Linked DNA regions of Caenorhabditis elegans. The protein of the gene in region 1 interacts with the protein of each later gene in a pairwise test. Each region holds a gene or a part of one and is shown in the gene's direction. Other genes may lie near its edges.

The links.
Region 2: the proteins of prx-12 (region 1) and uev-2 interact in a two-hybrid assay, tested with the Caenorhabditis elegans proteins (one study listed by BioGRID).

Annotation. Positions count from the first base shown.
Region 1 is NC_003284.9:11,388,462-11,399,567, forward strand, and holds prx-12 (Peroxisome assembly protein 12), read left to right. Parts: upstream 1-4,831; 5' UTR 4,832-4,839; coding exon 4,840-4,980; intron 4,981-5,029; coding exon 5,030-5,138; intron 5,139-5,185; coding exon 5,186-5,379; intron 5,380-5,423; coding exon 5,424-5,638; intron 5,639-5,683; coding exon 5,684-6,001; intron 6,002-6,049; coding exon 6,050-6,107; 3' UTR 6,108-6,158; downstream 6,159-11,106. Other genes in the region: prmn-1 (PRoMiNin (5-transmembrane domain glycoprotein) homolog), read left to right, coding at 324-412, 469-585, 682-802, 850-997, 1,054-1,133, 1,180-1,323, 1,384-1,522, 1,571-1,730 and 10 more; slo-2 (RCK N-terminal domain-containing protein), read right to left, coding at 6,238-6,385, 6,448-6,535, 6,806-6,929, 6,985-7,107, 7,156-7,239, 7,283-7,625, 7,888-8,688, 8,733-8,882 and 9 more. UniProt on the Caenorhabditis elegans protein: Component of a retrotranslocation channel required for peroxisome organization by mediating export of the PEX5/prx-5 receptor from peroxisomes to the cytosol, thereby promoting PEX5/prx-5 recycling.
Region 2 is NC_003281.10:5,579,110-5,589,987, forward strand, and holds uev-2 (UBC core domain-containing protein), read left to right. Parts: upstream 1-4,015; 5' UTR 4,016-4,031; coding exon 4,032-4,178; intron 4,179-4,285; coding exon 4,286-4,405; intron 4,406-4,446; coding exon 4,447-4,534; intron 4,535-4,626; coding exon 4,627-4,777; intron 4,778-4,917; coding exon 4,918-5,104; 3' UTR 5,105-5,413; downstream 5,414-10,878. Other genes in the region: F56D2.5 (RBR-type E3 ubiquitin transferase), read right to left, coding at 231-329, 375-466, 514-627, 672-824, 1,192-1,470, 1,837-1,959; F56D2.8 (DUF4440 domain-containing protein), read right to left, coding at 2,779-2,826, 2,904-3,079, 3,125-3,302; F56D2.3 (DUF148 domain-containing protein), read left to right, coding at 5,953-6,075, 6,530-6,654, 6,800-7,004, 7,052-7,281, 7,496-7,676; F56D2.2 (RBR-type E3 ubiquitin transferase), read left to right, coding at 8,154-8,282, 8,337-8,615, 8,667-8,819, 8,868-8,981, 9,029-9,120, 9,169-9,267, 9,316-9,700, 9,749-9,952; Pre-mRNA-splicing factor ATP-dependent RNA helicase ddx-15, read right to left, coding at 10,170-10,287, 10,342-10,702, 10,755-10,878.

The DNA of each region.
Region 1 (11,106 bases):
ATTTTCTTGGTTCTCTGTTTTTCAAACAGCTATTTTGAAAATTTCTATCAAGAGCAATAGCATTAATTTTTACAATCAAAGACCAAAATGGGTAAAGAAATCGGAAAAGAAAAATGTTTGCATTTTACACAATGTGCGATCTTCGGGTGAATTGATTTAGGTTTAGGGTAGCCGGCGAGCACGAAAAAGCGAAAAGCAAAGAAACTATATTGTTGACTACCTAAGAGCACTTTTTCAACAGTCCAAAAGTGGAATCTTCAAAAAAGATAAAATAAAAATGAAAATACTTCAATGCGGAGATTAAACCAGTTTATTTTTTTCAGTGGATCGAATTTCAAAAAGGATGGATTGTACTGAGCGTCGGACTTGTTGCGATAAGTGTGCTCTTTGTGGTTTTTTATTTCTTCTACAAGTAAGAAACAACTAGTGAACTTTTACAAGAAAATCAATATTTTTTTTCAATTCTAGGTGCTGCGTGTGTATTTGCTCTCGATCCTCTAAAAAACAGAATACTGATGCAAGATATGACGGATGCAAACGAAGCATGTGCAATCTGTTGTTATTTGTACTGGTCAGTGCGAATGCGTAAGTTTCTAACCATTTTTATTAATTTTGAAGAGCATAAGAAAAGTTAAACACTATTTCTTTGACGCGTATGTATTAATTTTGATTACTTTCTAGGTTTGTTGCTTTTACCCTGTTAATGACAAGCCAATATGCTCAAATTGGTTTGGATAAGCTTCCAAATCGGATGAATCAATGTGTCGACGATTTGCAGTCATACAAAAGAGACAGTGATATGGTAATTTTTGTTGTTTTTAAATGGTTACTTGAATTTTATAATTACAGAGAATACGAAAGTTGCTCATCGATGATTACCAGGTCCTCAATTCAACCATTACCAAACAACTATCCACTGCCGGATATAATGTAGTGGACCGCGTCAAAAAACTGACTGGCGCACATGTCATTGACGTTTTCATGAACATTAGCAAAGGTAAGGTCATATTTATAATTACGAAATGTAAAAAAAAACACATCGGTATTTTTTAGTGGCGCAAGAAATGCACGATGGGTTGGAGTCAGTTCATGGAAAGGTCAGATTTCTAAACGAAGAAGGTTCACGGTTTGAAGTACTTATTAAAACTCTTATTCTCAGTTTAATTGTAATATTTTTAGGCTGAGTTCTCACGATTACGAAATACGGCTAATGAAGAGCTAGTCAAGTGTCTTGAAAATGAGCTCGAGCCGGTTAGAAGCATGTGTGCAAAAGCAGAACGACTCCTTGAGAGTCTCGCTGTCACTCAATTCAAAATTGACCAAGTGAGTTGTACTAAAGACGGGGCGTTTTCTATAATTAAAAAAAACAACACTTATTTTCAGAAATTCCTGCCCGATGCAACTGAGACCGGGCTTTCCGAAATTGTCAATGCGAATATTACTCAAGTACTCGCTGCATCCAACAATCAATTTGAGCAATTAGAGAGCAGAATACAACACGAAATTGACAAAGAAACATATTGTAAGACAATAACACTAGAAATGTTATACATTCATATATATTTTTAAGCCGCTCAAAATATGTTGAAACAAATCGGAGATGATCTGTTTCTGGTAGCTGAAACAATTTCGACTCAATTGCGCAAAGTAACATTTGAAGCTTTGTATAGCACTGTTTCTTATGTATCGGACCCTAAAAAAACACCAACTCTCAAATACATGCAATACAGGTAGGTCTTATCAGAAAGGTCTACAAATTTGATATTTATGATCTCAGTTTGAAAACTTCCTTTTTTGTTTTGTTTTTGTGAAACCAATTATTTGGTATTATTAGAATAATATTGCCAAATTTACAGCTGGTATGCGTCTCTTGTTATCACAAGTTTGTTTATTCTCCTGGCTCTCATTTTCCTATTTGGAGTTCTTTATGGAATATGTGGTCGACGTCCAACTTATTACAACGATGATTGTTGTGTAAGAAGCACTGGCGGAAAGTTTTATTCTTTGTAAGTTTTATATTACAATTAAATTAATCATAGGTTTAAATTTCAGTGGAATTGGGGCTTTTCTTCTTATCTTTGTCTTCCTGGCAGTGGGAACTTCTGCATTGATGTTTGCTGTTGGAAACTTCTCAAACTTGGTGTGCCAGCCCATGAGAAATCCCTTGAGCCATCCGGAATCGTTATCGGTTGGTTCATCTTTGTTCTCCCAAGTATAAAGATTTTTGCAGCTTGCTGATAGATATATCAATCTTTGGAAAGCAAATCACACACCTGAAAATGATATCGAGGTTACTCTTCAGTCGAAATCGCCGGCAGAAATTATTAGAGCGTGTTCAAGAAACGAGACGCTGTACAACTTTTATGGATTTGACAAAAAGTATCATTTGAACAAACTACAGGTACTAACAAAACTTATACATAGATATGTTAAATATAAATTTTGCAGGATTTTGAAAAAGATGCATACAACCAACTGCAAATTTCCTTGCGAACAACTATGGAAAATATGCCGGAAATTCGTCCGCTTGATGCATTCATTTCAAGAAGCGAACTTCGAGATTTGGAGAAACTCGCCTCAGTGAATGTTTCAAAAGTTAGCCAACAAGGCCTGAATGCGGTTTGTAGATTGGAAACATAATTGAGCAATTTTTAACTTTGAGTTTCAGATAAAGCATGCAATGGATGAACTCGACTTAGCATCCAAAACGCGGGAATTCGAGGAATCTCTAGACGCAAATTCGGGTCGTCCTAAGGCAGTGACTCTTGTTCTTGAACAAATCAGAGAGTTAGAGATTCAATTTGCGAAACCATTAAGGAGCAGATTAGAGGCATTGTACTCTAACATTACTTCACTCGATGAAAAGTGAAAATTCTTTAAATGTTGAATTCCTATAAAATACTTATTCCAGACTTTCTCAGCTTCAAGTTCCTGTTTCTTCTCTTCTTGTAAAGCTTCAGCATGCTCAGGCTTTACTGGCTGAAAACATGAGAGAGCATTTCGGTCGTGCAGCTAAAGAAGAATTCCAACAAATGGTTAACAACATCGACCAGTACATAGTTCATGTCAAAAGCCAGGTAATAACGCAAAAGTGTTTCAAAAAATTCTATAATTGCTTGACTTTTCAGATGGAGAGCGAGGTCACGTCATGTCAACCGTTGACACAAATTGCCCGGCAAACAACTGCTGCTGTTTGTGCTTACACAATTGATCCATATGTAAAAATGACACAAAAATTGGGGAACTGTTTTCAATTTATAATTTCAGAACGGGACATGGATGTGTATGCTGATCTGCCTAGTTCTGTTGATACCAATTGTGATAATTTCAAACTCATTAATAGGTTTATACTCTAAGATGCACGCGTTCCCAAAATAGTAAGTTTCACAATTTTATTTAAAGAAAAGTGTCACAATAACTTTAGCTTAGCCATTTTTTCGAAAAATAACCCTTAACTTTGCAATTTTGAATATAATTTTATATATTTCAGCATTGTGGAACCACCATCTGAAACACATCACATGTCATCGTTCATTACCGATACATATGACACTAGGCCTAAGCCGTAAGTTAGCATATTAATATCAATTGGAATATTTTTTGAAACTACACATTTTGAAATGATCTTTCAAATACTCGGTATCAGAAATAAAACGAGTTCAGTTTGAAACACAAAAACCAACAATAAAGATCAAAAAGTTGATGTAGCAAATTACCAACAAATACTGTTTTAGAAAAATTTTGCATTATTACAAATGCGACAAAAATGTTTAATGTTTGCCAGAACCCAAAAAATATTAAATAATGAAAAAGTAACAGCCCTGCTATTGAAATCTGGATATGAAAAATGTTCTAAATATAAATTCAAATGTTTCAAAAAACTATTTTTTTCAGTGGATACGCAAACTACACCTACACAGATGATTATCAACGTAATTATCGATGAAGAGCCTCAGAAAATGTATTATCACAATTGCGCCTACTTAATTAAAAAATGCATGTATTTATGTCGACAATTCAGTTGAAATTTTCTTTCATTTCATTTGATCGCACCTAGAATCTACGAGTATCATTTTCCCATTATTCATTTCTCCCAGTCCCATGTTCTTTTTCTTAAAATCTACTCAAGTGAACCGCTCAATTCTACGCACACAGTTTTTCTATTCAGTGCCATTTTTGCATTTCCGTTTTTTCCTCAAATTCGATCTTCAGTTGTTTGACTTTTTTTCAGTTTCCGTAACTTTTACTGATAGAATTATCATTTATGTGATGATTCCCCAATTGCGGTTCGTATTTGAATAAAAACATTAAACCACCCTCCACGTTGGTTCAGTTCTTCCAAAAGCGGATTGAAGTTGATAAGAGTTAAGATAAGAACAAATGTTGCGTGCAAACAATTCGTGATTTATTGTTTTTATATTTAAAATAATGTATATAGTTGTCCACGTTTTGGTGTCTCTTTAAAAAAATCATAAAGAACTAGCACGCACCGTAAAACTCACTACAAATAATTGAAAATCCCATTTATTTATTATTCATGCATTTATTAAAGAGTCGTTATTTTCATTGTATTTTGCATCAATAGATCTACAGTTAAGAAAAGCAAAGGTTACATTGTTGCAATTCTAACCCTCCACATTTCAATTACTATCTAATCGTGATAAGACAAGGACACACTACGTCGTAGTATGATACGGACAGTGTCCTCGCTCCTCCGGCAATCGATGGTCGTGTTCAATCATTTTCATATCTCTCCTTTTTTTTGGTTTTATTTGTAAATTTTAATGAGTATAATCTCAACAATTTCCTCTTATTTTTAACTGAAAAATTTAGGAAATAATGAGTACGACTATTCGTGCCTCGCAGCTGGCTTCGTCAATTTCTCCAAAAACTGAAGAAAAGCAGCCATCGGTTTTTGATATAATCGCTCAAGAAAATCTTGCAACATCAATCAGACCGGCTTTACAGCATCTTGTAAAAGTATGTTAAGAATAAAAGTGAAACGAATATTTGAAATTGAACATTTCAGTATCTAGCATTCTTCAAGCCAAAAACATTTCTTTCGGTTCACCGAAACTTTGATGAATACTACATCATATTCGATCTCATTTTGCAAAACCACTATTTGAGAAACTATGGTACGTTTTTTAATTCCAATTTTTCACCTAAAGATAATGTGTTTCAGGAGCGTCGTTCACGGAAAACTTTTATTCTATGAAGCGAATAGCATCAGGCACAGGAAATCCACCGAACGATGGTAGGGAAAGAATAATGTCGCTTATTACATTAGTCGGATGGCCTTATGTAGAGAATAAATTGAATCAGCTTTATGACAGGCTCAAGGAAGTTTACGAATGCAGAAGCTGGTCATCAATTAATGTATGTATAGACAAATAAATTTGAAATATCGTTTATAATTCCAGGGCATGAAAGCAAAGTGTCAAAAAATGTTTGTGATCATTTGGCCATACATCAAGACAGCTCTTAAGGCAGTGAAAAGTGCTCTACAACTTGCATACATTTTGAACCGCAGCTCCATTCACTCGCCATGGCTTTACTTCTCAGGCGTGATTCTGAAACATCTTACGCCAGAAGACTTGGAAGCTTTCAATGCTGTTCCTCTTCATCTCCAAACTGGGTATCAAATTTCTAGAGGAACATTAAACGAACATATTCATTTAAGATTCTTCAATCGCATCTGGAGATTTATTTTGGGACTACCTGGAATCGTTTCAAGGCTCTTTGCTTATGGGCTCTTCTTTGTACAGTTTTTGGATTATATGTACAACACAGATTTGGCAAAACTTACAAAGACTGGCCTTGACGGAGCTATTCCTTCACCTCCACACAAAATGATCATATCTGAATCGGAAATTTTGAGTTTGGACACCAATAAATGCCCAATTTGTTTGAAGAAAAGAGTTAATGATACTGCGCTTTTTGTATCTGGATATGTATTCTGCTACACATGTATCAACCAATACGTAAACACTTATAACAAGTGAGTTTTCTTTATTTTAAACTATCAATTATTTGAGAAAAATTTCAGATGTCCAGTGACAGGATGCCCGGCAAACGTTCAGCATTTAATCCGTTTGTTTGTATAGCGCTACAAATTTAATTTTGAATCATGTTACGACAAATAAAATTACAAAAATATTCATTTTTAAAACACGAGCAAATATTCCAGCAAATTCAACTTTTCGTTGTGTTGGGCATTGTACAAAAAACGCAAGTTTACAAATTATTCTCATCAATGACAATTGTTGGGACTTGATTTGTTGAATCGATGGTTTCACTAACATTTTTACTGCGTCTTAGACCCCTTCTTGGGTTAATTCTTGCGTTGGTTGCATCTTTCCGGATTGGACTTCTGATTACGTAGCTGAAAGTTCATTTATGAGTTCTTGATCAAAAATTCATCTGAAATAGAATTTAAAATCGTACACAATATCTCCGGACTCTAGTTCCAAATCTTGAGCAGGATTGATGATGACATATGAGATTTGCGACTTTTCATCGCTTCCTTCGAGCACTGAAATTTAAAATACAGTTCACCACGTCTAACCGCACCAAGAAAAATGATCACACTGAAGCAATTAGAATTAAACTTAAAGAATCTTCAACCTTATTATGAAATGAAATAAAAGTAAATAGTAAGTATTAAAGTAAGTTTTCTAATTTTATTTTGTCTGCTGGTTCACACCACTCTTCGGCTTATACCTGTTGATCTGCACCGGCTAGCATATTTCCAATTGACTAGAAAGGGTTTAAAAATAGAAAACTAATTCCGAATAAAACTTACAAGTATGAGTGTCTTTTATATTAAGAAGTCTCATTCGATTTTTCACATGATCATACATATCTTTGTTTCTTCCCATTTCAGTGTTTTCAAAATCTTTGCATTGTTCTTGAAGATCAAGGGATACCTGAAAATATTAAAAAAAAAAACAATTAGTCGATACTGAGCAGATTTGTGTTTACCGTCTTAGTGTCCATCTTTTTGGTTCTGAAAATACCGATAGGAATATCAGCCACAGAGGAGCATAGTTTTTGATACAATCGTCCATAATTCCGAATCCATAAGTCATCCGATGTGATAACAAACTGAAATATTTATCACATGAAGGTTCACTGCAATTAGTTTGATTGTACCGAAGTTAAATATCCGCCATCACTATGTTGATCAATTCCAAGAAGAAGTCTGACTAGATCAACCACAAACGGTTTGATAATAGCCTGAATATATTACGTTTGAATATGCGGAAATTAAAAAATTAACCTGATAAAGTAATCTATCCAGCATGTTAGCACTAAAAACACCTCCTTGTGCAAATGGTAGTCGGAACATGAACGGCATATGAGAGCCACGTTTTCGTTCCTTTTTTTCAAATCTGGATTGAGCCAATGAATAAGCATTATGTGGATTGAACTGCACGAATCGCATGTTTGTCGCATGCGTCAATTCAGTGATCATTCGAAGTCTTGGGAACATTCGATGAATCTTTTGAACTGTGATAATTGTGTTACAATCTGCAGTATGCTCCTCTGCCATTACAGCTGTCTCCTTGACAACAACCACATGCTCCGCACTGCTTACACCAGCTCGGAGAAGGCAATCCAAACTGTAAGATGATGTATACTTATTGACGAACATATTAATGAACATGATAATTGGTCATCACTGCAACTCCCGCCAGACATCCGAAATTCAAAGACGAGTAGTTTATTATTACATTAAACTAAGGAATAAATAAGTTAGTTCACAGAGTTCACGTTGTACGATCTTCTTAGCCACGTCGTGGGTCAATACACGTTGATACCCAACAATAATAGATAATTTATTTCATGTATTGTTGAATTAAATTTATAAAAACATTCACTTACTTTCCAACTTTTCCCTTCATCCAATAAACATCTGGGAAATATGAGATTGCATCCAAAAATGCATCATTCAACGAATCTTGCTCTTCCAACTCCAAAAGAATGATGATCGGATGTAAATCATGCACTGGTCTGTAGTATGCTCGAAGAGGAATAACTAAATTGTACATGCCACTGCTGGTTCTATCCGCCGCAAGAATAATTGGCCGATTTCTCCATTGGTACTCATGCGCAGAAGTAGCAGATTTATGAGCACATTTTTCATCAAGCTTTAGACAGCAAAGCGACCGACGCTCTTTCATCATGTGGCACACAGTATTAGATGTTCCAATGTATGTTCTCACTTGTGGGTAAGTACGCTGAAGTTTATGTTGTATGCAAGGTCCACGGCATTTGTCGCAAATCTCTTCTTGATCAGAATCGGACGAGCTGTCAATTTTCCCCTCAGTAACCATTGCAATTGACGGGCGACGACTAGATTGAACATGTTCTCCAACTTCAATTAAGTGGATCTCATCTGCAGCCTTTTCCTTCCTCTTCTTCTTTTTTCTGCCAACTAACTCGGTTTTGTCAGATCTTGGTACATCTACAGCTACCGTTCCAATATTTGCAATAGTTGATGCAACATTTGCACGTTTTTGCTGGCTTCGGATGCCTTTTCTAAAGTCTGTCAGTGACTCTTCATTGGTCAATCCCATATAATAAACTGTATCAGTTGGCTGAATGATGTGAGAAGATCCTGGGTTTAACTTCATACGTGAAGTGTCCCCATCCGGAGAAACGGCAATCAAACCGATTCCGTATCTGAAAAAGAAAATGCTGAAGTTGCAAATAAGTGATCAACTAACTCTTTATGCGCGTGGAAACTTGTGCTGCTAAATGACTTTCCGACATACTCACAGAAAAATTTGCTGTCTTGAACTTTAATCTGGTACATTTCGTTTCCAGAATGAAATCCATAGACTTTGTGCCACGGTTCGGTAGATTTCTGGCCTTCCCTAGAATGATGACATCATTAAAGATTTTATACGAAATTAAATAAACGTACTCTCCACGAGAGGTGTGCATTAAAAGTGTGATGAAAGTAGAAATTCCCGGGCAGATGCAATTGTTTGCAAGTAGAGCGTATTTAAATTCATCCTCACAAATTAAGACTTCTGAAAGAATGTATGTAATCATCGAGAAAGTAGTAAGAATCGTTTAAAGTTTAAAGAAATACTGCTAATTTTGAACCTATTTTTCTCTATTTTGAATAAGTTTTCTTCGTGGAGTCATACCTGCGTGCTCAATATGCATCTTGGTTTCTGCTCTGAATATTTGCACGTATTGCTTGACATTTGGAGCAAAATCTTTAATAGCCCATGACCGAAGAATTGTGTGTTCATCTGTGGCCACTTTTCTGTTGACATGTCTTGCAGACAAAATGAAGCAAGCTTTTGATGTTGCTACGTTGGCTCTGAAAATTCAATTACCGACGGAAGAACGAAAACAAAAATTGAAACCTCTCCAAGTCTTCATCTCTTAAAGAGCTTCCACGAACGTAATGAACCCGGTTATTCCAAAGAGGAATTTTCAAAAGCATTCGTGTCTGGTTGTCTAATTCAGCTGGCGACAACAAAACAATTTGAATTCTCTGAAGAACAAAAATTATTTTAGAACTGGTGTGTTACTGAAATACCTGGTTTTCGGGGTGGGCGTAGAATTCTTCCAAGAAATCACGAATGAATTCAACTTCCAAAGTAGTGATTGTCACAACAACATGAGATTCCACTCCATTCCAACTACTAAAGTCAGTTCCAGATTTCTGACGTTCAGACCATGTTTGTCCCAGTTCGTCTAGTTGTTTTGGAATCAATCCCAATGCAACGCAAATCAAAATGACAACGCATAATTGTGAAGCCCAATAGTCTGGATACCAGTCACCATAGCCAACTGTAGAGAATGTGACCATTACAAAGTAGAAAGATGTGAAGAGATCAATTCTTTTTCCACGAGCACGTTGCAAATGTTCAATGCTACACATTCCGGTAAAAATGAGGCAAGCCAGAACTGAGAACAAGAGTAAAAGTTGACGAAATAGAGCAGAGGAGCTTATAAAAGATTTTCTATTGAGATCGTTCTGAAAAAATAATGAACTTTGACACTTCCCAGTAGGCAATGCCTCACCATCATAGCTTGAAGAGCACCTTTGGCAAGCCAGCAGTTGAGAAACACCGGAACGTATAAGTAGGTTAAGCTGGGAATAAAAATCAGAAAAAAATTAATGATTAATTGTTCGTTGATAAAATAAAATAACAAACCGATATTATGAATGGGAAACTTGTGATGAGTTCCAGTAAGAAATGAATATTGATGAGCAGTCTAACTACACTTCCCTGAAATTAAAATGTGCTTTTTGTAAAGTAGTGTTTTGAAACGACTTACCGAATAACTGAGATAAAACACCAAAATAGTGTAAACCATACTAATGCAAGCAAACATTGTTTGTAGAAACCAAATTTTGAAATCGAAGTCTACCCATAGTAAGTATTTACTGAAAATGTTGTTTTCAATTTTCTGGCGAGATATAAATTCTGAACAAAGTTATTCTCAATTTTCTACTAATTAGTATTCATTTTAATTATTTTGTAATAACTGCATAAACTGAAATTTAACTTTTTTGATATACAGGTATGCTGAATAAATTCAGTTTAAAAAAAAGGTATCATAAACGTACATGTGTGAAGAAGAATCTATATTGAAATGTTTGAAAACTATAATTACTTTTTTTCTAAACTTGGAATGATACTTTTCTAAATCATTCAATTAGTGGAAAATTGGGGTCCTTAACACCGAATGTTGAATGTAATTTTTCAAACATTTAATTTAAAAAATTTTCAAAATTTTCTTTTCAAAATTTCAGAAAAAAATCGACTCACTAAAGTGTGACATCTTGTTTTCCAGCTTCTTCTTCCGAAAATGGAAAGTCATCAGGATATGATCTTTCGTCATTGACGACACGAATACAATATAATATACATGTTAATAGTTTGATCAACACATTGCAGGATCTTATTCGAGCACCTGAACAAGATTTTGCCCTTATTATTTTATTATTTTTATTTGAAAATTGAAACTCACTGATACTGGGGTTTTCTATGAACCATTGCTGAAGTTTGTGCTTGATGTTCTTTTTTTCGCCATACTGCATCCGAGCACTGAAAATAAATTGGAATAAAAGAC
Region 2 (10,878 bases), on another chromosome or scaffold:
AAAATGTTTTTGTGAACTTATCATACGCTCAAAAAAATCAAGTCTTTGAGAGTCATTGTGAGCAGAATTATGGGCACCCAAAGATTTTATACGAGAAATCCAGCGGGCTCAACAAATTTCAACACTCAAATTTCAAACCGACAATCACAGAGCTCCAGACACAAAGTTCAAGAAAAATTCACGAGTTCTGATAGTCTAATAGCAACACAACACATTTTTCTAAATTTTACCTGTCAGTTAGATAAGCCACCATTTGGCAATTTTCATTTGGACATTCCATTGAATCATCCATTTCTCGAATTGCTTTTTCTAGCATATGAGCTTCATACCTTTAAAAATTAATCAAATACTTGTCAATCTCCTAGGAATCTTACTTTGCAAACAGCTCCTCTCCTAGAGCCTCTTGCACCATACCCTGTTGGGCTTCATTTTCACATCCTTCTGCTAGACATGACATTGGTTTCGACTGAAAAATCCAATAAAAATATATCAGCTAAGAAAATTCAAACTAACCACAAACCCCTTGGCAATAGAAATATAATAGTTGAAAGTGCAGGATTTGCAGAAAACATGAGAACATGGCTGGAACTTTATGCAGTGCTGTCCCATTTGGGATTCGAAGCATACCTGGAAATTTTGATGAAAAATTAGAAAAAAAATACAAACGTTACTTGGCAATCGTAGAGGGTATTAACAAACTGTTCTTCAACAGCTTCCTCTTCTTTCTGTAGTATTTTCATTTTCAGAGATTCGATAGTCTCTCCTTGTCTGTTCAGTGCACATGCCTCGTTCAAATTTATAATTTTCGGAGTGTTCTGGGCCATCTGAAATTTGATAGTTGAAAAAGACGCCAGCTGCTTGAATCAAAGAACGTAGCAGTCGACATTCCGCAGAATTAAAAAAGTTAAATTCTGCATGAGATATCTAGATTTAAATTCGCTCAAAGGCATACCCGTGAGATGTCGGTCTTCTAATCAACATCCTACTTCTAATGAATATGTAATTTCTACTATCTGTGTAGACCGTTACATCTCAGAACGCTTTGCAGACGACATATCGCGGGTAGCCCATCTATGTCATTCAATAACGAACCAGCAAAATGTCGGCTGCAGTTAAATTTAGCAGAGGACACCTTACGTGTCTGAGATGTCGGCTCATAATGGTGCTTTTTATTTGATTCTCGCTACTCACCAAATCAATTATTGTCTGGTAGCACATAAAAAGCACCTCCATCATCTGGTTTTCCTCGCAAATCTTTGCCAACTCGGTTTCACAAGATGTCATTTGTTCCTGATTCATCCAATAACTTTCCAGTTCAAGTTTTGGTGATGATACGGTGGGATAATCATTTGGAAGATGGAATTTTAGTCGAATTGGAGGAAGAATGTCAAGAGGAAGATGAAATTGATCGCCGGAGTCAGATGTTCCTTCAATTGTGACTGTTGGATCGTATAAGTTGTCAAATCCGACCTGAAATTGCACTTGACTATTCTAAAACTCATTTAAAAAAACCAACTAACCAACTTTCAACCGTAACTTAGTGACTCTTCTAAAAAATACTTTACTCCATATATGGCCATATTAGTTTATCTCGTACAGGAAAATAGTCAACCGTGGCCAAAATTTCGGGCTAATGATTATGGAGGCTATTGAAATTTTCTATACTTTGTTACCTTAAATATTTTTGATAACTTACATAATTACGTAGAAAGTGTAGCTAAAATATAGTAAGGGTAGTTTCAGATAAATAATTTTTTGTTGTTATTTAGTGGACATTAAATTACTTTTTTAAAAGTTAAAATACCCCAGCTTCTCTCAAAAAACCAAAATCTTTACCTCAATAATTCCCTGGATTTCAGCATTCTTATCACTCCAATCACTGGATTTCGCCAGTTTCTTCTCTCTTAGAACACTTTCCAATGCTTCCAATTCATATATTTGCAGGTCACGATCAGTCATTTTTTATCGATTTTTAGACAAGAGACGCAGAGATTCAATAGACGGAGTTTAGGTAATTTAGAAATGAATGTTCAGGAATTTATAGAAAATATTTTACATTATTAGTCAAAAATGTTCAAACAATATATGAGGAAAGTTTGCGGAACAAAAATCAAAATTAATTACTAAAATATTGCGAAATATTGCAAAATTGTAATGAGTAAAATTGCGCAATGTGATAGATAACCTGTTGTGGAAACGATGAGAAATACAATTTGAAACTTTAAATTTAGAGTATTATCAGTGAGAAATTGTTCAACTTAAATTGTGTTTTTCTCTACGTGATGTGTACTTTAATTGCGTTTCAATTGTTTGTATTTAAACAATCGAAGAGTTCAAATTTGCAGCAATGCTTGAAATTGCCCCCAAAAGTTCAATTTTTCAATTTGCCAAACCTTTCACTAAAATTTTTGAAAAATGTATCTATCCATGTACCTTATTCTTCAGGAATTGATAAAATCTATCGATTCATAAAAAACTAAAGCTATTCCAACAGAATAGAAAAACACAATGTTCAAAAATGAAAGAATATTAAAATCATGTGAAAAGGGAAAACTTCCAGAAAGTCGACTCTTCTCGTTTACTGCGTTTTGTGAATATCTGAAAACTTTGTACGGATTTGTTACCATTTCTTCAATAGGCCGTGTATCATTCTGTCAATTTTTGGTGGATAGGTAAAATGTAACAGCCAATTTGATTTCTGAAAAGTTTTCGAAACATTTTTAAATATATTTAAAACATTTATTTAGGTCATACAAGTCCCGATATTCGAATATGAAACTACATCCAATCACTGAAGTGCACCATTGTCCAGCCTTTCCATTTGTTCTGCAAATTAAAATTTATCTACAAATCTATTCTGGTGATTGCGGCTGGATAAAATTTTAGTCCAACTCCCTGATTACCTCGTATTTTATCTTGAAAATAGTCGTTTTTTTGGACAAAAGGGGCGTGTTGGGGTAATATCTGACATTAATCTGAATGACTCCATACTCGTAGCGAACTCGTTCAATTATTCCGGTCGGATAAGATTCAAAAGATTTGATGATTCCCTGTGCCGCTTCAATCATGCCACTGACAGCTGAAAATAACTAAATTTCAAAATTGTTTCTGATATCGTACTTACGAAGCATATCATCCGGAGCAAAAAGATCCACTACTGCAACTGGGTCCCCTGATTTGATAGCTGCCTGGAACTTTTCGAAGAACTCCTTCGGTACGTTGGCATATTCTTCGGGGACTGGATCCAATGAAAAGACAATAGAAGCACTTGAAAGAGCTAGAAGAAAAATTGGAAGACGCATATTTTGGTTTGGCTACATGGCGAACTGAGCATTTTTATAGTTCGAAATGCTAATTCAATTAGAATGTGAAAATTGTCAATCAATGCGGAGGTTGATGTTTGGTGTCGTATTGATGATCATGATCATTTTGGGCATTTTGAAGACACCACATGGGTTCTGCCGCGTACGGTATCCGGTCTCGTCATGATAAATTTTAGCTGAATGAAAAAGCGTGTGCAGTGTGTGGCAGAGGAGTTGCGTCATTCCACGTTTAAAAGTGTGCCCAACATCAGATATACCTTTAATCCTCCAACCCGTCGGAATCAAGTAGCTCACACACACACACACACATACATAATCTGAGAGCACGTGTAGTTTTTGTTACATGCTCAATTCTAAAACAGAGGGCGCGAGAGAGAAAGAGGCCATCTCTAGGACAACGTACTAATGATAGAGAGACGGCATCCGCTTCTGTGTGATTATGTAGCTCTTTTTCTCTCGTACCTGCCTCTTCTTCAACTTGTGATATTATCCCACGTATTCATACTCTCTTCTTCACTTTTTGTTTGAAGCTTCTGGTTGCCTTAGGCCTCGTGGGATAATATGCAACGTTTTGTGCGCTTTAAGAATATATTCACTGTAGCTTTTTCAAATAAGATCCAGCTTAGGTTCAGTTAACGCGGCTCCGGAAGCTTCGTCACGAATTGGATTACTTTGACTTTCCAGATTAGAGCTTAAGCTTTCAGAAACATGCGAAGACGTAGCAACAGACAATATGTTGATCTCTCATATTTTCGCGAAACTGCCGATGCGCTATTATTCGACGTTGAAACCAATTCACGCGAATTCACCAATGAAATCAACACTGTGAAGGAGGAGAAAGCCAAGTGGGATGAGGTAAGCTTTCACACAAAGTTTAACTCGCCTGCCTACCTGGGACCTAGGCCTGATTTATGCCTACTTCAAAAGTGGGCGTGGCATGTGTCGAAATAACTTTTTTTCAGAGAACACCGCAAGGGTATACGGCAAAGCCAATTAGTTTTGAGGGCGCAGACATATGGTGTTCTTGGATATGTACAGTACCTGGACCGAGAGGAAGCCCCTGGGAGGGAGGGGAATATGAGGTTTAATTACTTTTTAGTTCGCAAAAGTATATTATCTCCAGGTTTCCGTGAACTTTCACAAATGGCCTATAATTCCGCCAATTTGTGAATTCAAAACGCCGCTTCATCATCCGAACGTGGACCTCAGAGGTTGGTTAGAACTGTTTCGAAAAAATATGTTTGAGTGTGAAATACAGAAAACGGTAGCAAAAAGAAACGCATTATTACAAAAATCTTTACAGGATCAATTTATCTTAAAATGCTGGAACAAGAGCACTGGTCTTCTGAAACTTCACTCAAGAAACTTCTGAGGGAAATCAGCAATCTACTTGCAACGCCCGATCTTACTCAAGCTGCAAATATTGAAGCCTGGATGGAATATGAGAATCAGCGGTTAGATATATTTTAACGGCGCACAGCTGCAAATGTGAACAAACTCGGCCACCTATTCTTCTAGGCCACTTCGATTTGGAGCTAAGCGTCGTTGAACAGAGAAAAGAGAACACTTAACTTTTAAAATTATCTTGTTCCAGTGAAAATTACGAGGCTAAAGCTCGAGCTTATGCTTGGACAGTTAACCCGAACGCCGTGGGATACATGGAAGTATCCGAGAATTCCGGAATTCAGAGGGAGACAGCAAAGGCTAAGTTGGCAGTGCAAAATGGTGCCATGGAATCGGACGAGGATGATGACGATCTACCAATTGACATCGAAAACTAATATTACACAAATTTTTATATTTTTGGTATTGGCCAACGTTTTCTGTTGAAGACCTTTTCCACTTTCTCAAAACTTTCTTGCCGACACTCTATGGAATTTTTCAGATTTTTCTCCAAAAAGGTGCCAATTTTCTATACACATTTATTTAAATCCCAATGCCCCTTTTTTGCAGCAAACTTACCTGACCTATGTGATAATTTTTCCCATTTTCCCTACTTTCCCGATCACACCAATTTTTCATTCTCTTTCCAAAACCATGTCTTTTTACGAAAAAAGTGATTATTGTACCAAATAAAGCTATTCCAAACTCGTTGAGTCGGGGTGTCCTCCCATTATCTCTTAATGAAATGGCAGAACAAGAATAAATCTACGTAGTCAACATTTGTAGGCAGGGAGGTATGCTTGACTAAGCTCCAGTCTACTAAGGATTTAAAAAACTCGGCCACCGATTTCTTGTTCTCGGCCACGTTGCAATGAACCGCAATGCCCTTCAAAAAGAGGTGATACTCGTGATTGCACGTCATTACCTCATCCCCAATGTCTATATTTACTTCTCCCGCACACCTTGTCAGATATCTGCACTGTTCATGGTGTGCTCATCGCCTCGCGGAGAGAGCTCTAACCCAAAAGTTTTAAACGTAAAAAGCCGGAAACGGTATAGGTTTATCGGTTCACCGAGAGCGCGCCTAGATCGTGTGGTACCGCCCCTCCTCGCCTCCCGTCAAAGGTCTCTATTTACTCCCAAACAGTGTGCTCTCGGAGCCTCCCGATCCCCCTCGCTGACCATTGTCCACTCCACTCGACCGTGCACAGTTGACTCCTTTTTTTGTACTAGTCGGTTGTTGGAAATGAAACGTATTCTTTTGATTTCTCTATTTTCGGCGGTTGTCAACGGCTTTTACTACAAGAGAACTTTATACGGAGATGCTAATGAGGGAGCTGCCATGCCAGACTATGTTAATGCTTATTATGTGAGTTTTCTTGGCTTGTAGGATTTTTAAGTGGCAGTTTCGGCAGAGATTTCACATCTAAAATATAGTTTTTGAGTTGTTTTGCAACAAGTCAGCCAAAAAATCGGTGGCCGAGTTTTTTGCTTTCCGCGGCCACGTAGCGAAAATCCCAAGGTTAATTATTACAAGGTCACAACCATTTCGGTATGTTGTGTAGATTTTTCTAATTGAAACTAGATCAGAACACAAACGCCTGCTTGCTTGCCTTCATTCACCTACGCTTGTATCAAGATTGTGCACATTGAAAGTAGGCGTGTAGACAGGCACGTAGGTACCAAGGACTGAAGATTTCATGAAAACAACACCAAACACCAGAGTCCAGCAAGAAAAAAAACCAAAAAATAATAGGCAAGCTTTCATGAAAACGAGTCTGCCTACCAAGCCTTATTGAAAATTCTGAACATTCATTTTCCAGGGTTTTCCAACAATCCCAACACAAGAGCCACGTCGGCGACCATCTTTCAACATGAATCCACCACAAGGATATTTTCATCGGGAGCATCCATTTGACTTTGGGCCATTTGGTTATATGAGAGCAAGGTAAGTTCCGGAATAGGTGGCCAAGTTTTATCTCCTCGCGGCCACTTAGTAAAAAACTGACCGTAGCGCCAGATTACAACGATAATCTATTCAAAACTCACTTTAGACGGTACCTTAGCAACAAATAATCTTGATTTTCCTTCAGAATTGGAGAAGCCAACTTCGGTGAGCCCATGGAGAAAACTGACCGCGAGCGAGCTATGGAACGGGCCAAACCGGGATTTTGGCGTCAAAACCAACGCGAAACCATGGATCGGATCAAGAAAATTATTGGAGAGCAGAGAATGAATATGGAGCAGAAGCAAATGCATATTCGAAGAGTTCTAGCAAATGAGAGTGATGAGATAAGGGTAAGAAGATAAATAATTTTTTCTCAACAAACACAAACATTTTTCAGTCCAAATTCGCTGATATTCACAAAAGACTGATCATGAAAAACAACAAGATGACCGTCTCCTCTCCAGTTCCAGAGCTTAGCAAACAGGCGAAGAAGCTTGAGAAAGAGGCCAAGAAAATTATGGAAAACAAGAAAATGAGTGTAGAGAAGAAGCAGGAGAAACTTGACAAACTTATGCTTAAGGCTCCAGAGAACGTTAAGAATGAGCTCAATGCTATGAACGATTCGGGGTGAGCATTGAGTTTTTCATGGTAGGCAAGACGCGCATGTAGGCAGGCGCAGGTTGCATGGGAGGCAGGAAGCAGGCGTTACATGGTATTCCTAAAAAGATTCCAATCCGTGTAACACTCTCGGAGAATTCAATCATATCAAAATTGATTGATGCTTAGTCGATTTTTGTGTTTCTCCTCTATTGCTCTCTTCGAAAAATCTCAAATCTTTCAGATCAACACCTGCCCCAATTCAAGCTCCATTCCCAGCTCCAGGACAAACCGAGGCTCTTAATCGGGCAAACCCATCAATGGCTTCTCAAGTTGAAGTAATGACTCGTAATGCACCAACTCAAGCAGTGGTTGAAGCTCGTCAAATCCGAGTTTCCGAAGATGGAAAAACTGTGGAAATTTAAATAATCTGTGCTCTATGAGCAATTCTTCTTTTTGTGTATTTTACGTCTAATTTTCTCAACTGCCCAACGTCTTTCCCTTGTGCTCCATCCCCAGAAACGACGAGCTATCTGACTGTATATACAAGTGATTTCAGCTCGGCGTTTGCTCACCTGCTCAGTTCGCCTTCTGTAAATATAACCTTAATCCATTCAAAATCGTTGTTATCAATCTCAGCATATCAATTGTTTATCAGTGTTATTTAAATAATAAATATATGGGATTTTCTGCGCTAATATATTAGAAAACTCGTATCTTTCCAATAAAAAGTGGAATTTGAACATCCACGCTTTGTTTCTGTCAGATGGAGCGCGTTTGGTGCATGTTTTTTCAGCGGTTTTTTTGCCCTTTTAAAAAAGTCTAGATTTCTAAACATTTTGAACGCGATACCAGTTTTTCTTGTTCTAGTTTGTGTTAAAATAATTTCTACTAAATTTCAGATGTCAGACGACAGCCGTGAAACTCAGTTATTCGAGCTAGAAGCACTGGAGAGTGTGCTAAGGGAGAATAAATTGACGAGAATCAGTGATTGGGCGGATAAAAATGCAGAAATTCGGGGAATAATTGAAGTAGAATATTGAGCGTATAAAGAAGTTTATTATTAAATTTTTTCTTGATTTCAGGTAGGATTTGACACATTATCCGATCCAAAAGTCACAATTGAAGGAACGTCTGACTCCAGCGATCATTTTTCCATCCCCCTAGACATTCTTCCACCAATCCGATTGAAATTTCATCTTCCAAATGATTATCCCTCAGTATCATCACCAAAACTTGAACTGGAAAGTTATTGGATGAATCAGGAACAAATGACATCTTGTGAAACCGAGTTGGCAAGGATTTGCGAGGAAAACCAGATGATGGAGGTGCTTTTTATGTGCTATCAAACGATAATTGATTCGGTTAGTTTTTTGTTCTTTTTAACAAATTAAATATATAAAAATAAGTTTCAGATAGACCAATCTCACCTAAAAATCATCAATCTGAACGAGGCGTGTGCGCTGAAAAACAATGGAGAAACTATTGAATCGCTGAAAAAGAAAATTCTTGGAAAAGGCGAAGAAGCTGCTGAAGAGCACTTTGTCAATACACTTTTCGATTGTGAAGTAATTTTTTCGTAGTTATAAAATTATACTATTTTTTCAATCTTCCAGGTATGCTACGACTCTCAAATGGGCCAACATTGCATCAAATTCCAGCCGTGCTCTCACGTTTTCTGCAAACAATGTACTTTCGATTATTATCGTACAATATCGAAAGGTGTTGTGGTAAGATCCAATCGATTTTTTTTTTGGAAAAATTGGATCATTTACAGTCAAAAGCCATGCAGTGTCTAGCAGAAGGATGCAAGAGTGAAGCACAACAAAATACGGTTAAGGAGGCACTCGGAGATGATTTATATGCAAAGTGAGATACATTTCCAAAAAAAAAAATCCAAATTTGAATTTCCGCCAGATACGAGACGATTATGCTGGAGAAGGCGATTCGAGAGATGGAAGACACCGTGGAGTGTCCCAGAGAGAATTGTCAAAAAGTCGCCTACGTCACGGATAGGTATAGTTTAAAATATAAAAATAAATGTAAAAAAGAAGAACATTTCAGACAACGCTTCCTGGCCGAATGCTCCTACTGTAACTTTTCGTTCTGCAATCTGTGTAAGCAGACATTCCACGGAATAGAACGCTGCAAATGGAAGAAAGGAGACAAAGAGCTTCTTGTCAAAAGATGGAAGGATGGAGATGAAGCTGAGAAGGCTGAAATGTGCAGGCAATTTGGAGGAGAGAAGCGTGTCGAGGAGCTTGTGGAGCGGTTCCTCAATGAGGAATGGCTGGATTCGAACAGCAAACCGTGTCCCAAGTGCTCGGTGAGCATAGAGAAGAATGAAGGATGCCACAAGATGCACTGTACGAAGTGTGACACCTACTTCTGTTGGTTGTGCTCTGAAACTCTTGACAAGGAAGATCCTTATAAGCATTTTCAGGGAGATGTTGGTTTTTTCTTAGAATTGTGTAAGAAATGTATTTTTCATTTTCAGGGATCATGCTCTGGACGTCTGTTCGAAGGAGTTCATCACGATTTGCTAGATAACGATGACGATCTTCTTTTCGATATGGCATTTAACGACGGTAGTGACTATGACAGTGATGAGACCGTCGAGTATCCTGAATCCGACGAAGATATTGATGCGGAGGATTGGTTAGAGCAAGAAGGACATTTTGACGAGCTTTTCTTTAATTAACATAACTTTACGGTTTTCTCTAAATTTACGGATTAATTGTCAAATAAAATGAATAGTTCATCCTTTTAGATTTGGTGATTGATTTAAAAGTGAAAATAGAATTAAAAGAAAGGGGTAAGAAATAAACAAAAAATAAATAGAAACAATCAAAAAATTTGACAAGGGGCAATAGGGATAAAAGAGGTTTGGGGAAATGAGATCAGATGATTCGGAGGCATCAATAGCCTCTGCCAGCGTTTCTCTGCAGGGTCTGCATCACAGTAGTCAGCTTCCGTTTCGTGTCTCCATCTGGGAAGTTGTCGAGATCATAGTATTGAGGGGCGATTTGAAGTAGCCTGAAACGCATATCTAGTTAGGTTTTGAATAATATAATTTGCAAATTAACTCACCATTCAGGGCGCACATCAGTTACAGTTCTGATGAAGTTCTTTGTGGTTAACACGAACTCATTGTAGAGTGCCCACTCCGGCTTATGATCGAGAACTGTGGATGGATGAAGGTTGACGAGCTGATTATCTTTCACCGTCACGTAGTGTCCACTTCGTTCCAGATGAGCGACTTGCATGAAAAATCCAGCTACAAGAGCTTTCCTGATGTTGAGATAATAGTCTCGAGATTTGAAGTCTGTTGAGACACGTCGAAGATTGTACTTGTCCATAACACGCGACAATTGTGTGCGGACTGTGTCGGCAGTTTTCATAGTTCTGTAGTTGATGAAGTTATCGTAACACCACTGCGGATCTTCTTGATCTGAAATATGCGAAACTAATATTTGAAAAAAAGAAAAACAAAGTCAACTTACTCTGCTTGAACGAATGATAGACATTGAGAAGTGTGAGATGATCTCCATCAATATGTGCAAACCGAGCCTTCGCCTCATCGGCTTCTGTTCTCATTTCATTGGGACGAACCCAGCACTGCGGAAC